Linked DNA regions of Drosophila melanogaster. The protein of the gene in region 3 interacts with the protein of the main gene of each other region in a pairwise test. Each region holds a gene or a part of one and is shown on either strand. Other genes may lie near its edges.

Region 1 (2,709 bases), on a different chromosome or scaffold from region 3:
GTCTTGCAAATTTCTTTTGATATACATTACATACCGCCAAAATCAGTCATAACTTCACTTTTGAAAAATGATTTCATATTTTCAATCGCTATGTCAAAGTTGAGGAATTTGTCTATTGCACTTCCTCTTGTCTTCTTTCTGATTTTATTAAAATAAATCATTTTTACTAAGAGAATTGCATTTATGTTATTGTTGTAATGTCGGTGGAAGCTTTGTGATAACATGAAATTCCGCGAAAATGTGTCAATATTTGTTTTGACTTATCAATTCTTATTTAAAGGAATATTATATAATGAGATTTAGCGTTGAATGTATGCGTATCACAAAATACAGATGATGTTCTTATCAGCATTGATAGTTGCCAATTCTGAGAAAGTTGTAAGACTAGATTTTTCATTTAACAACATTTACGTATATGCGGGATTTTGTTAAATGTTGCTGTGTAAGCCGTATTTAATTAATTTGATTTAATTTCTAATCACTGTTGATAATGAAAATTCTCGAGAAATTATGAAAAATGTAAAAGCATTGGGCTCTAATGCAGTGTGCTGGTTATTTGCTGATAAGTTAATTTTTCTAAATGCGCATTCCCTCATCAATTTTACCTTTCGCTGGCCTATATATTCCGCTCGCTGGGCTGCCAAAGTATCAGTTTGTCTTAAACCAGTGCTCTACTAGGGTTATTAACAAAATGAATGCCTCCATTTCTCTACTGTAAGTATTGATTACTTTAAAAAATACTTAAAACTTAATAACATTTCTTGGGCAACTAACTAGATGCCTTGCCCTGCTCCTGATTAGTCCTTTTTGCTTGGGCTATTCTGACGAGGAAAGGGAATCTGACAGCCTTAGGGTTGCAGAAATTATTCGAACCTCCAACGACGCCGAATCGAAGATCAATCGAACCCAAGAGCTGCTCGATATCTTTAGGCGCCTGACTCCCACGTTGTCCCCTGAACAAAGGGAAAAGATTGAAAGATCCATTCAGGAGCATACTGATGAAATTCTAATCGATGGAGTTCCGAGTCAGGGGGGGCGAAAGACCAAGTACGTCGGAAAAATCCTATCTCCAGTGGCACAAGGCCTTGCAGTTGGATTCTTTGAAGAACTCGGTGGCAGCCTTTCCAGGCTCTTTACTGGATAATCACCATTCAGGACTAAGGGATTTTGAGAAACATTAGATAAACATGTTGTAAGCTCAAGTCCAAATAAAATATTCCAGTTTGAGAAGATGATTCTTAAAATTGAGTAGTATTTTTGTTATTTTCTTTTCGCCATTTTGAATTTTACATTCAAAGTTCATAAAATATTGGTGTAAGCGGTCAAGGGATATATTTTCGATAACACATTTCAACTCAACACACAATAAAATTGTTGTTTGCAGTAGATAAACTCTTTTGTAGTATATGCATATGTACAGCTGCGTAATGGTCATGATTACAAGAATACAAGAAAATCCATATAAAACAATTTAAAACAATTTACTAAGAATAAATTTCATTGTTAAAAGTGATTGGATTGTTCAGAAGATGCTTCTATATTCGTTATCAGGGAGCCATCGGTGTCTATAAATTGTGTGTCTTGGCTTCAGGATTGTCAGTTCGGCTTGCACTTGCATTCCATTAAGTCCTTACAAAATGAATTTTAAAACGTCTTTGATGTAAGTGGCGTTTCGTATTTTATTACAATTGAACTTATTATTTCTAACTAAATTTTCAGCTGTTTCGCACTGCTACTGATTGGAACTCTATGCTCGGCCTATTCCAATCAAGAACGTCAACGTGACAGTCGTAGGGTTGCTGAAATTATGCGAACCTCCTGGGACGACAATACCAAAATCAAAAGAATCCAGGAACTACTTACCATATACAATCGCATGGCTCCTAGCTTAAGACCAGATGAAAGGGCGAGAATGGACAGATTCATAAGTGGATATACGGGAGAAATCATGGTCGATGGAGTACCCAGTCAAGGTGGTGCTAGAAGGATCTTTAAGAAGATTCTGTCTCCGGCGGCAAAGAGCGTGGCAACTGGATTCTTTACCGAACTCGGTGCAAGTCTTGCAAGCATATTAACTAGCTGGTTTCCAGCTAACACAGAACGAAACCATTGAAATCGTAGACATCTTTTTTGTAATAAAATCAATTCCCCACTGAAAGTGAAAGTGAAAGCATTGAAAGAGACTATCATAAATGCCGTATTTTATTCCCAGAAGGTGAATTAGTTAATACGCATCCATTGTAATGGAAATTGTGAACATCCACCTGTACATGATTACTTAATCAGATAGAAAATTTCCATAAATTGCATATTCATATCTTCTGCCCAGCATTTTATCCATAACCTTGTAAAAAATATGCACTCATATTAGATTGTAAGAGGTTGATTTAAAAATTCAGACAAAGTGCAGGGCGAACTTTGTTCATTCAATCTGACCAAAGTTTGTTTTGAATTCAATCAACACCCAAACAAAACTGAATTGTGGAAGCATGTTGTTCGAGAAAGCGATTGCAATTATTATTTGTGGGTAAAACACTTTTTGTGTAGAATACCACAAACTCGTTTTCGGCCGACGAAAGTTTTTGATTGTCTAGTCGAAACAGGGCATGTGGAAAGTAATTAACATGCAAGTGTCGAAAGCGTCTGACAGGGACCTTCTGCGTAGTGTGGGCGTCTCCGGCTGCCACAGGACATCCTTGTGGGTGAGGG
Region 2 (5,019 bases), on a different chromosome or scaffold from region 3:
AGGCACGAACTTGCTGGAGTGAAGGTTAAGTCGTTCGATTTGATATTCAATCGGTATAACGAATTCGAAAGCCATGCCAATGCACTCGTCGAAAAGGTCCCACCTGAACCGCATAGATAATGGGTATTTGCCATTCGAATAGATTCCTTCTTCCTGGCTCTCGCTTTTTGGCTTTCGGTTTTATGTACTTTTGTGCATCCGATGTGAAACCTGGCCCCCTTGCGAAACAGAGCATCGTATGGAAGAGTTTTCTTGGGGAAAACTGGCACACAGAATTGCAAAAAGCAAAAGCCGCTGCAAACATCAAATGGCAAATGGCACGCAATGGAATGGGCATAAAAATGCACGCAATTAAGTCGGCCAAATGATTTACAGTGAAAGGCGGTGAAATTTATGGCATGCAAAGCGTGAGAAGACTCTTCAGCCGATCAAAAGATCTCCAGGAACTGTAAGACCAGAACTTTGGAAAAAAAAACCGACTCCAATGTGGGGACTTTCGCTTTCATAGGAACGCAATTTGTCGACGCTGGCTCGTTGATTTGTGGAGGGGGGTGTGGCCAGGTCAGGGATTGGAGTTGAAATTGGACGGGTTCCGCTTATGAAACCCCTTCACAGAAACCCATATGCTAATTAGCCTCCGCTGCCTCCTGCTTTCTATCGTGTGAAACGTCAGCCAAGTGTTATGCGCAGCGTATTTTGTAAATCATATTTCGAATTTACATTTAACGCAGTCGCAGATGGAGATGGAAATGGAGATGGGGATGAGGATCAGGTCGGAGACATTTGGCTGACGGCTCTTGGCCGTTTGTCTTTATGCTAATCAAACATGTTTGTTTACAAAATCCCAATCGGATAACAAATGGTGGCTACCAACCGCCCCCAGTGGGTGGGTGGGGGAGTCAACTAGTTTTACACGGCTTAGTTATCGAACAAACGGTGCTAACCTATATTAATTTGTTTTTAAAGCTTTTGATATTAATTTTTCAAATAAATAACGATTTCTAAGCGCCTTAATCCTCTTTAAATTGGTTTATATTTTAGAGATATTACTCAATGTGTAAGGAAAATAGTAGACAGATTTAAATGCCAGTTTATAGGTCTATGTGAGCAGAACTTGATGGCGTGGTCCTAACAAACTTTATTTTACTTTCTAAATGGCCACAAATTCCAGTAAAGTCTTTATAATACGCAATTTTCTGTAATAAAATGGCACAATAAATGAAGCAGTTTTAAAATAAATTATCAAAGAAACTGAAATTGCCTAAATCTGTGATTATAAGTACCCAAATCAAACCGGTTGAATGTGGTTCGATTGAACGCGAATTGAAAGGCAATCGATGGCCGGCGGATATGGTCTAGTCCACCAAATCCACTGTTAACCCTCTGTTGCCAACTAACAGTGGTGAACGAAAGAGCCGAGCAAAGGCAACGCAGCAAATTTAATTTTCCATGCAGCTCACAGCGCGGGCTGCAAACCGAAAACTGTTTTTATGCTGCCGCTGCTGCTACTGCCCCATTGCTTTGTTGTTGGACTGCGCGTATATGGCGTCGTACGTGGCGGACCTGAAACTGAAGCTCAGCCGTTGTCAAACACAAAACACCAAACACCAAAGCAACAAAAACCGAAAAAAACCCTGCTCAATCCGGGGGCCAAACTAAGCTTAGCTATACTCTCCGCTGCTACAATACATTCAATGCACTGAGGCAAATATTGCAAAATTTTACAAAAATATCGTTCAATGTTTTTGGAAATATTTGTAGATATTAGATAATATTAATTTTTTGGATTATTTGTACTGCTGTTCATCTAAGAAAAAGAATTTAATTTGGCCATTCAGCTGGAAGGTCCTACTGCCTACCACAACCCTATTGATGGCCATTAAAAAGATTTTGTAGACACTAATATTTTCTCCCAGTGTCTACGCCGACGTCGCTGCCGTGGCCGTTGTTGTCGTCGCCTTGTCTTCGCAGCTGGCGGCGGCAGCGCTCGAATCAGTTTCAGTTTTTCAGTCCAACGTGCGAGTTCGAAGCGACAAGCGGTCCACTTCGCCTTTCTGGGGGCCAGGATTTTTGAAAGTGACTAGTGACTAGTGGCAAAATATGTGCGGTTAGCCACGACAGTTTGCAGTGTCTCGAAAGCCACAACACACCTAAAAACGCAATCCAATCGAATCCGAATCGAGTCCAGATCAATCCAATCTAATACCGACTGCCCGCTCAAGGAGAATCGATTTTGTAGTTTGTGGATACGCGGCGCGGAGTCGAGCTTTGAAAATGGTGAGTGCAAATGTGTGTCAGAGGCATGGAGCTATGGAAATTATCATATCCACAACAGACCCCAACACAGCCCCCTTGGGTTGCCAGAACCAAAAGCATGCCAAAGAATATTGAAAGTCCGTTGACGCAACGGAAAAACGAATGTTAAACAGCAGAAACTCCATGGCAGTTGGAGAACGTAAACTAAGAATGCACAGCGAAAAAAACAAGACAATGCTGCATAAACATAACATAAAACAATGATAGGCAGAAAACAATCAAAGAAATATTATAGACAATTCCAAGATATTTTAGAAAACACTTGATTGTTATTCTTGTTATGCTAATTGTTAAGTTTGCTTTAATTAACCAGCTAACACGTTCTCCGCACAGCTAGGAAATCGTTCAAAATTCTTTTCCTGTGTAAGACTTTATCGCTGAATGGCTGAGTGTGAGAAAAAGCAACAGCAACAACGACAACGGGTTCTGTACCGCTACTGACCGACCGAAGTTGAAGGCGAACTTGTCAAAGACAATGAATAAAATGAGCGCTGAGGGGCTAAACAAAAAAAAAAAATAAATAAAAAAAAGAGTGTAAAGTGGGGGGCTAGAAGTTGGTGGGGGGTTTCAGTTTCGCTTTCGTAGCTGAAAGCCCGTCCGAGAAAAGGGGAAAATGTCCGTAGTCGCAGTCTTCAATTGGCCAATTGGCAACGGCTTTTACTTCCTCGGCCGTTTGAGGCGAAAAGCGAAAAACGAAAAGCCAGCTAGCCGAAAGATTTCCATTATGGCCGCAGCAGGCGGCACGCCTCAATTTGCCAGCAAAATCAGCGGTATAGGCAGCAAGTAAAAGTTGCACAGGCGCACAACAATGGCAAAAACAATAACTAGTTTTGTTTTACAACAATTAATATTTGCAAAGGAAAAAATAAAAAGAAAAAATACCTATAACTCGCCGCTGTCGATTGGCAAATAGTTGGCAAAGCAAAGCAACATAAAAAAAAACTGGTCTCAAAAAAGGAAAACTGCAAAAATTTGGTTCGAAACGGAGTCTCGAAAACAGTGGAAAAGCAAAAGGCAATCGGAGAGTCCAAATCAAATGCGAACTCTGCTGGCTTTATAAATTAAACATTTTATTTTATGGTCTTTCGCTAGCCGCACAATGCAACCGATCGGACATACGAGCTCCATTATATTTCTGTGAACGAGCGTATAATGTGGAGCAGGTCGAAATTTAAGCATTTCGAAAATGAAAACGAAAAACGAAAAACAATAAGAAATGCTAATTGCCCAAGTTTTCATTGTCTCCGTGATAGGTTTTCGCATTAGTTATGGCACTGAAAATATACATTTTATGTGCTAAGAAATGTTTCCCAATGGAAAAATATCAAACGGTCTCCAAAAACTAACTAGCTTCTTAAGACAATTTAAACTGCTTAATTCGAGCTTTTTCCTAATTATAATTATCATTTATGGCAATATTCATCAAGTCTTTCGCTTTTTATAATTACCAAAACATTTATGTAATGTGGAGCAGGTCAAAACTAAATCGCTTGAAAGAAAGAAAACTCGAAAATGTTAATTGCCAGCCGGGCCAAAGTTTTCATTGCCTCTGTGCACTTTCGCGGCATTTTGGCGTTAGTTAATAACTCTCTTTCGTGCCGCCCCTTTTCTTGTTGCCACGCCCATCGACTTGACACGCGCTATTGACAGCAGTGACTGACATGTGCAGTAAGTTGGAAATGTATCTGCAAAACTCCCGTCGTATCTGTAGCTGTTCATGTTTCTACGAGTGTATCTGAAACTCTCACTTTCGTTTGAAATGCCACTGCCGGCGCTGACAATTGAATGAAAACACTTGCAGAGAATTTTGTTTGCAAAACAAACCATTGAAATGGCAAGACGGCGAGCTTACCCATGTTTACATTCGAAAAACCCCAAAGAAAAGTAAATACCAAACGAAAAAAAAAATCAGAGCTTAGTGGAAAAGGAGGTTGGGGGCAGACAATATAATTGCACAGCGACAGACTTTCTCCCTTACAGAAAACAGAAAACAAGCAACGCATTTTTCTCTACGCTCTTGTCGTATTATTTTTTTATTATTGTGACGGAAGTTGCTAATGCGGTACGATTGGGCGTATACGTAATGCGAGTGCCAACGATTACGAGGGTCCTGCCTTGCCAGATTTTGTAACCGATCGCGCAATTAGAGTGTAGAAAATAGAAGAAGATGCAAGTAGGCGAATTGGGTAACAGGAATGCTTATCTTTTGATTTGTATTACCAAATTTAGTTTTTTTATTAAAAAAGCAAAGAAAAAACATATTCCCCTTCAAAGTTCTGACATTTTTTTAGCTGTCCCTGAAGCTGTGACTTTTGAAGCGATATAATCATTTTAATAGTATTTTAAGCTTGACTTTACATAAATGAAAGACATTTAAATGTTTTATTGTTAGACTAGACAATGCAACTTTAGTTTCTATGAAATGTGAATATAATGTGCCAGAAAATGCCAGGCACTCAAAACTCAGCCACGACTCATAGCTCAAACAGCGTCAAGTAGCTGGGGCATAATTGCAGGCCAGGCCAAGCATTCCGACTACGGCCAATAATATCTTGGCTCAAAAGCGTGGCCAAAAGTGCCTGGCAACACGACGTTCTCGATTCTTGGCTGTCGGCTTCTTGGCAATCACTTTTTGCCCAGCCCTGACAGCCAGCTGCAACTGGGTTTTGTTTGGCTTTTGCATCGGGGGAGTGTGGGCTGAAT
Region 3 (4,406 bases):
TAAACAACATAGCGAAAATTGCTGTAATTGCATGTTTTTGTCGCCAAATGTTGCGTATTCGCACTGATAGCACCGCACCCAAGTTCATAGTACGTATACGCTCAATTGGCGCTGATTGCCGGCTGGCATATCGGCATCGAAATCAGAGCGCTATGTGCACAACATCATGATTTGGGGTCGTCGTTGTCAAGTTCATCAGTGAATCGAATGCACAAACATGGGTTTGAAAGTCGAAGGGTTATGATTATTGCTCACAGATTAGGTCGCCACTCGGAAACAGCTCTGCTCCACTGGCAATCAAATCGTTTCAAAGCATTTCCATTCCATCTGGCTTATTCCACATATTAGTTATTATTAAGCGTGTGATGTGTATCTTAATTGTCATGCAAGAAAAACATAAATAAATAATGAATGTTTCTTTGTGGAAGTTGTTCTTGTAAATTTTACAACAAATGCCACATAATATTACCCTTATCTTTATCGGGATATTCAAAAACGTTTGCGATTGCGCAGGCGATAAGAAACACCAATAAAAGGGCACGTAACTACCAAATAAACTTAATAGTTTTATTTAACCAGCTCTGTTATCTATAACGTGTAATCTTTGAAAGTTTTCCTAGACTTAAAATTTTTCATTAAAATGCAATGCAACAAAGTGCAAAGAGCAAGTGCAAGGCTAGCTATTAACTTAAACAATTCATACTGGACTGGTCGTGAAGAAGTGATGAAAAAATGATGGGGCCAGCAGGCCTTAAAACTTAACAGCAAGGCCATTGTCGAAAGAAGATCATTCCTTTCCAACAACAAGGCTTATAGGACGGAGCTGGAAACACTCTCGATGACCTCAAACGCATTGTCTATTTCCGAACTCTCCAGCAAACGGTTGACAGCAATGCGAATGCTGGGACGGACTGGTTGGCGTTCCCTGTTCTGCAGGTAGGCAGCCTGTACCACAGCCACTCCACGAGCAATGCACTGGGAAAAGTGAGTAGAAATGTATAGTTTTCATAATTGCATGGGGAAATAAAATGCCTACCTTATCAGCCAGCTCTGTTAGAAGTTTCAGTTCCTTGTCAAAGTTCTCGGCGGGCTGGGCAAGATACAAGTGCTTCACTGGTGACACCTCATCGCCGCGCAGGGTTAGCTTGCTGAATCGCAAAAACTTCTGGTGCAACGTCTTAGACTTTGCCTGCAGCTGCTCGAAGATTTGTGGTTCTCGTTCGAAACGATCCAACGCTGAAATAGCCGCCTGGGTGAGCATGGGCGGCAGCGAGGCCGAGAAGATGTAGCCCAAGCCAGAGAGGCGCTGGTGCTCGGCTATGAAGTGCGAGCCAACACAGAAGCCACCGACTGTTGCCATCGAACCCTCCATGCCGGCCGATATCAGATCGACTTCATCACGCTAAAAGAAAAATACCAGTTATAATTTTAGTTTTTCTTTCCGGTTTACCACCTACATCGACATTAAAGTGCTCCGTAACTCCGTGACCACCCTGGCCCAATGTGCCAAAGGAGATGCTTTCGTCGATGAACAAACGCAGCTTGTACTTCTGACGCAAGGCCACCAGGTCGGGAAGTGGGCAAATCTCGCCCGTATTCATATAGATACCCTCGGCGACGAGGAAGCGACGTGTCTTAGCCGCCTTTTTCGGATTTTTCTGGTCTCGTTTTTCTTGCTCAATCAGCAGACGTTCTAGATCCTCAACGTCATTGTGCTTAAAGAAAACGATTGTGCTTCGTGAAGCATCCAGACCCTTCTGAATGGCAAAGTTGACAGCCTCATCCCTACAAATAACAAGTAATTAGTCGCCAATCTGAGTAGGTGAAGTAGACAATCCTACACAAAGATAAGGTCGCCACGTTTGGCATACGCCGGAATGGCACTGGCCACGGTCGAGAAGCCGTAGGAATAGACAATGGCCTCCTCCAGGCCCATGAACTTGGCAATACGATCCTCCAGGTCCAGATGCACGTCCATAGTGCCGTAGAAGCCCCGAGGTCCGCAAGATCCAACTCCGTACTTGCGCAGCGACTTGCAGGCCTCCTCCAGTATCTCCTGGTCCTCGAGGAAGCCAAGATAGTTGTGAGAGCCAAGATTTAGGCAGTCGTGTCCATCGACCTGGATGCGCTTGCCCACCCTGGACTGCACAACGCGGGTGTGCAGCAGGGGATGATTGGGATCGGTGTCGGCCACCAAGGGCTCTGGTTCATAGTCGGCGATTATTCGGTCTTCCTCCTCCTTGGTCAGCTGTCGGCGACGACCTCCTCCTCGTCTGTGGAGCAGCAACCAAATCACGGTTATGAGCAGTAGGGTCTCCAAGACGAGAGCAAACGTGGGGGTCTGTGGAAGGAGTAGAAACTGGAGTAAGCTAAATGTGGTGAAAAAGGCGAATGCAAACTTACGTTTCGGAAAATACTGCCGATTTCGTTGAACAATTGGATGGCCACCATTTTGACAGTCTGGTTCCGTGCCCTTTCTGTGAAAAATCAATTGAAACCGCCTTAATTCCCTGAAGTTATGTGTCATCTAGCCGACGCTTTCTTATCGCGGGTATGCCCCATACATATGTAGAATTGAAGCATTCGACCATACGGTACGGAAATCTTTTCAATTGGGTGTGTATGCTGACATAGGCTAATTGCCAGTGGGCGAAAAATGTGCAACCACGCCCTTCTCCAACATTCTCTTACATTAAATATCCATTTAAATCGAGCACTCACCACAAAACTCAGTTAACTATAGGCAAAATGCGTGAAATATCCGCCGAAACAGATGGATGAACGAATGTACTAAAAAATACCAATACGCGGATATCTTTAAGATGTGCGCCAAATTGGCGGCGATGGAGGAACAGTGGAATATGGAACTAGGGGACGTTTTTATTTATTTTTTGTTATTCAAAAACCTGGTCCTGTCGACCTGTCCCGCCCACCTGCCCCACCGACCTGTCCCGCCGATCTGACCCACCGACCTGTTCCGCTGACGTGTCCCACTGACCTGTCCCACCGAGCTGACTCGCTAACAACAAAATACAACAAGTTACAACAGATTTTAAATTTTTATTAAAAATTACCTAGATTTTATCAATATTTTTATGATACTGAACTCAAATAAACTTGCTACGTAACGGTTCTTTTCTAGTTATCATTTCAAATATATGATCGATTACTATTTTATATCGATAGGCAGAGCAGCGATCGCAGTGTGACCGTGCGGTGGGAAATAACGAAATCGAATTCAATTCAAACCGCCGATCCATTCAGTTTCCATTGAACTGCTGCTGCGATCGGTCAACCGATGTGAATGAGCCGCGTTACTGGCGCCATCTGAAATTCGAGTTCGCGAGATAAAAACCGCGAGAAGACAAAGAACACCGCAAAAAGCCGATGTAAACAAAGAGATATAGTTAGTTCTGCATTTTGCAAGAAAACTTTATCACATTACACGCGAATCGAAACGGATACTTGTATGTGCACAAAGTGAAATCAGCTGGACAACAAGAGTATTTTGCAATTGCCTTGGTTTATTTTCAGCCACTTGCGGCTGTCGTTTTCTGTGAAATTAACACTTTTTTCTATTGGCAGTGATGGGAAGTGTATATTTGGGTGTACCTGGCTGGTAGTCTAGATACAACAATTTACGCTATGTGTCGCGATCTAGTCTAGGTACAAGTATTCACTCTTCCTTGCAAATGTCCTTGTTTTAATATATAGTAAATTCTATTGCATTTCATATAATTATTTACTATTTACCTATATCACTATTCAATTAGACCCAAGGAAATACTTCTTTCAAAGTCACGATTGTATTTAAAATATACATAATCATTTTTATCAAGTTCCATTTCGTCTTAAATTACAATATTATTAAATAATTGCCAACTGATACTGATGAACTATACTATGTAGCTACCAATCAAAGTACCTTTCACATCACTATCTATCAATCAAATAGTTATAGTTAGCATTGCCCATGCGATAATGGCAAACCGAAATAGCGCAAAGAAAAGCCACTTCCTATTTCTCTTGAACTTGATGCGCTCGAATGAAGCTACCATGTCTACACCATGCCCACTTTCGCAGATAAATCGAGCAATGCACCCGACTAACTCCATGACACAATTGATGCATCCCAGCGCAGTATTTCCTCGATTAGGTATTTTCGCTTTTACCCGCTTTTTGCAATGCGCAATAAGTATCTCTTGGTGTGTGCGAAAATCGGTGGAGCAACCAGTTTTCGAGCTGCATTTTGACGTTGGCTTTTCTTTTACGTAACTCGCTGGCCGGGCACGAGCCAAAAACCAAAATAAATATCAATAATAAACACGGCGCCGCGCCAACCCAGTTAGTGGTTTTCACTTCACTTCACCTCACATCACATCACTTTACTTCTTCTTCTTTGCGGG

Evidence for each region. Proteins that work in one complex are often made in the same cells at the same time.
Region 1: the proteins of Spt-I (region 3) and TotB interact in a two-hybrid assay, tested with the Drosophila melanogaster proteins (one large-scale study listed by BioGRID).
Region 2: the proteins of Spt-I (region 3) and Cht7 interact in a two-hybrid assay, tested with the Drosophila melanogaster proteins (one large-scale study listed by BioGRID).

Annotation. Positions count from the first base shown.
Region 1 is NT_033777.3:20,872,341-20,875,049, forward strand, and holds TotB (turandot B), read left to right. Parts: upstream 1-1,597; 5' UTR 1,598-1,637; coding exon 1,638-1,660; intron 1,661-1,719; coding exon 1,720-2,113; 3' UTR 2,114-2,182; downstream 2,183-2,709. Other genes in the region: TotC (turandot C), read left to right, coding at 692-714, 778-1,144. UniProt on the Drosophila melanogaster protein: A humoral factor that may play a role in stress tolerance.
Region 2 is NT_037436.4:3,103,932-3,108,950, reverse strand, and holds the start of Cht7 (chitinase 7), read left to right. Parts: upstream 1-1,992; 5' UTR 1,993-2,274; coding exon 2,275-2,277; intron 2,278-5,019.
Region 3 is NT_033778.4:13,166,886-13,171,291, reverse strand, and holds Spt-I (serine palmitoyltransferase subunit I), read right to left. Parts: upstream 2,795-4,406; 5' UTR 2,722-2,794; exon of another isoform or gene 2,478-2,721; 5' UTR 2,452-2,477; coding exon 2,404-2,451; exon of another isoform or gene 2,342-2,403; coding exon 1,842-2,341; exon of another isoform or gene 1,786-1,841; coding exon 1,458-1,785; exon of another isoform or gene 1,403-1,457; coding exon 1,037-1,402; intron 985-1,036; exon of another isoform or gene 976-984; coding exon 811-975; 3' UTR 548-810; downstream 1-547.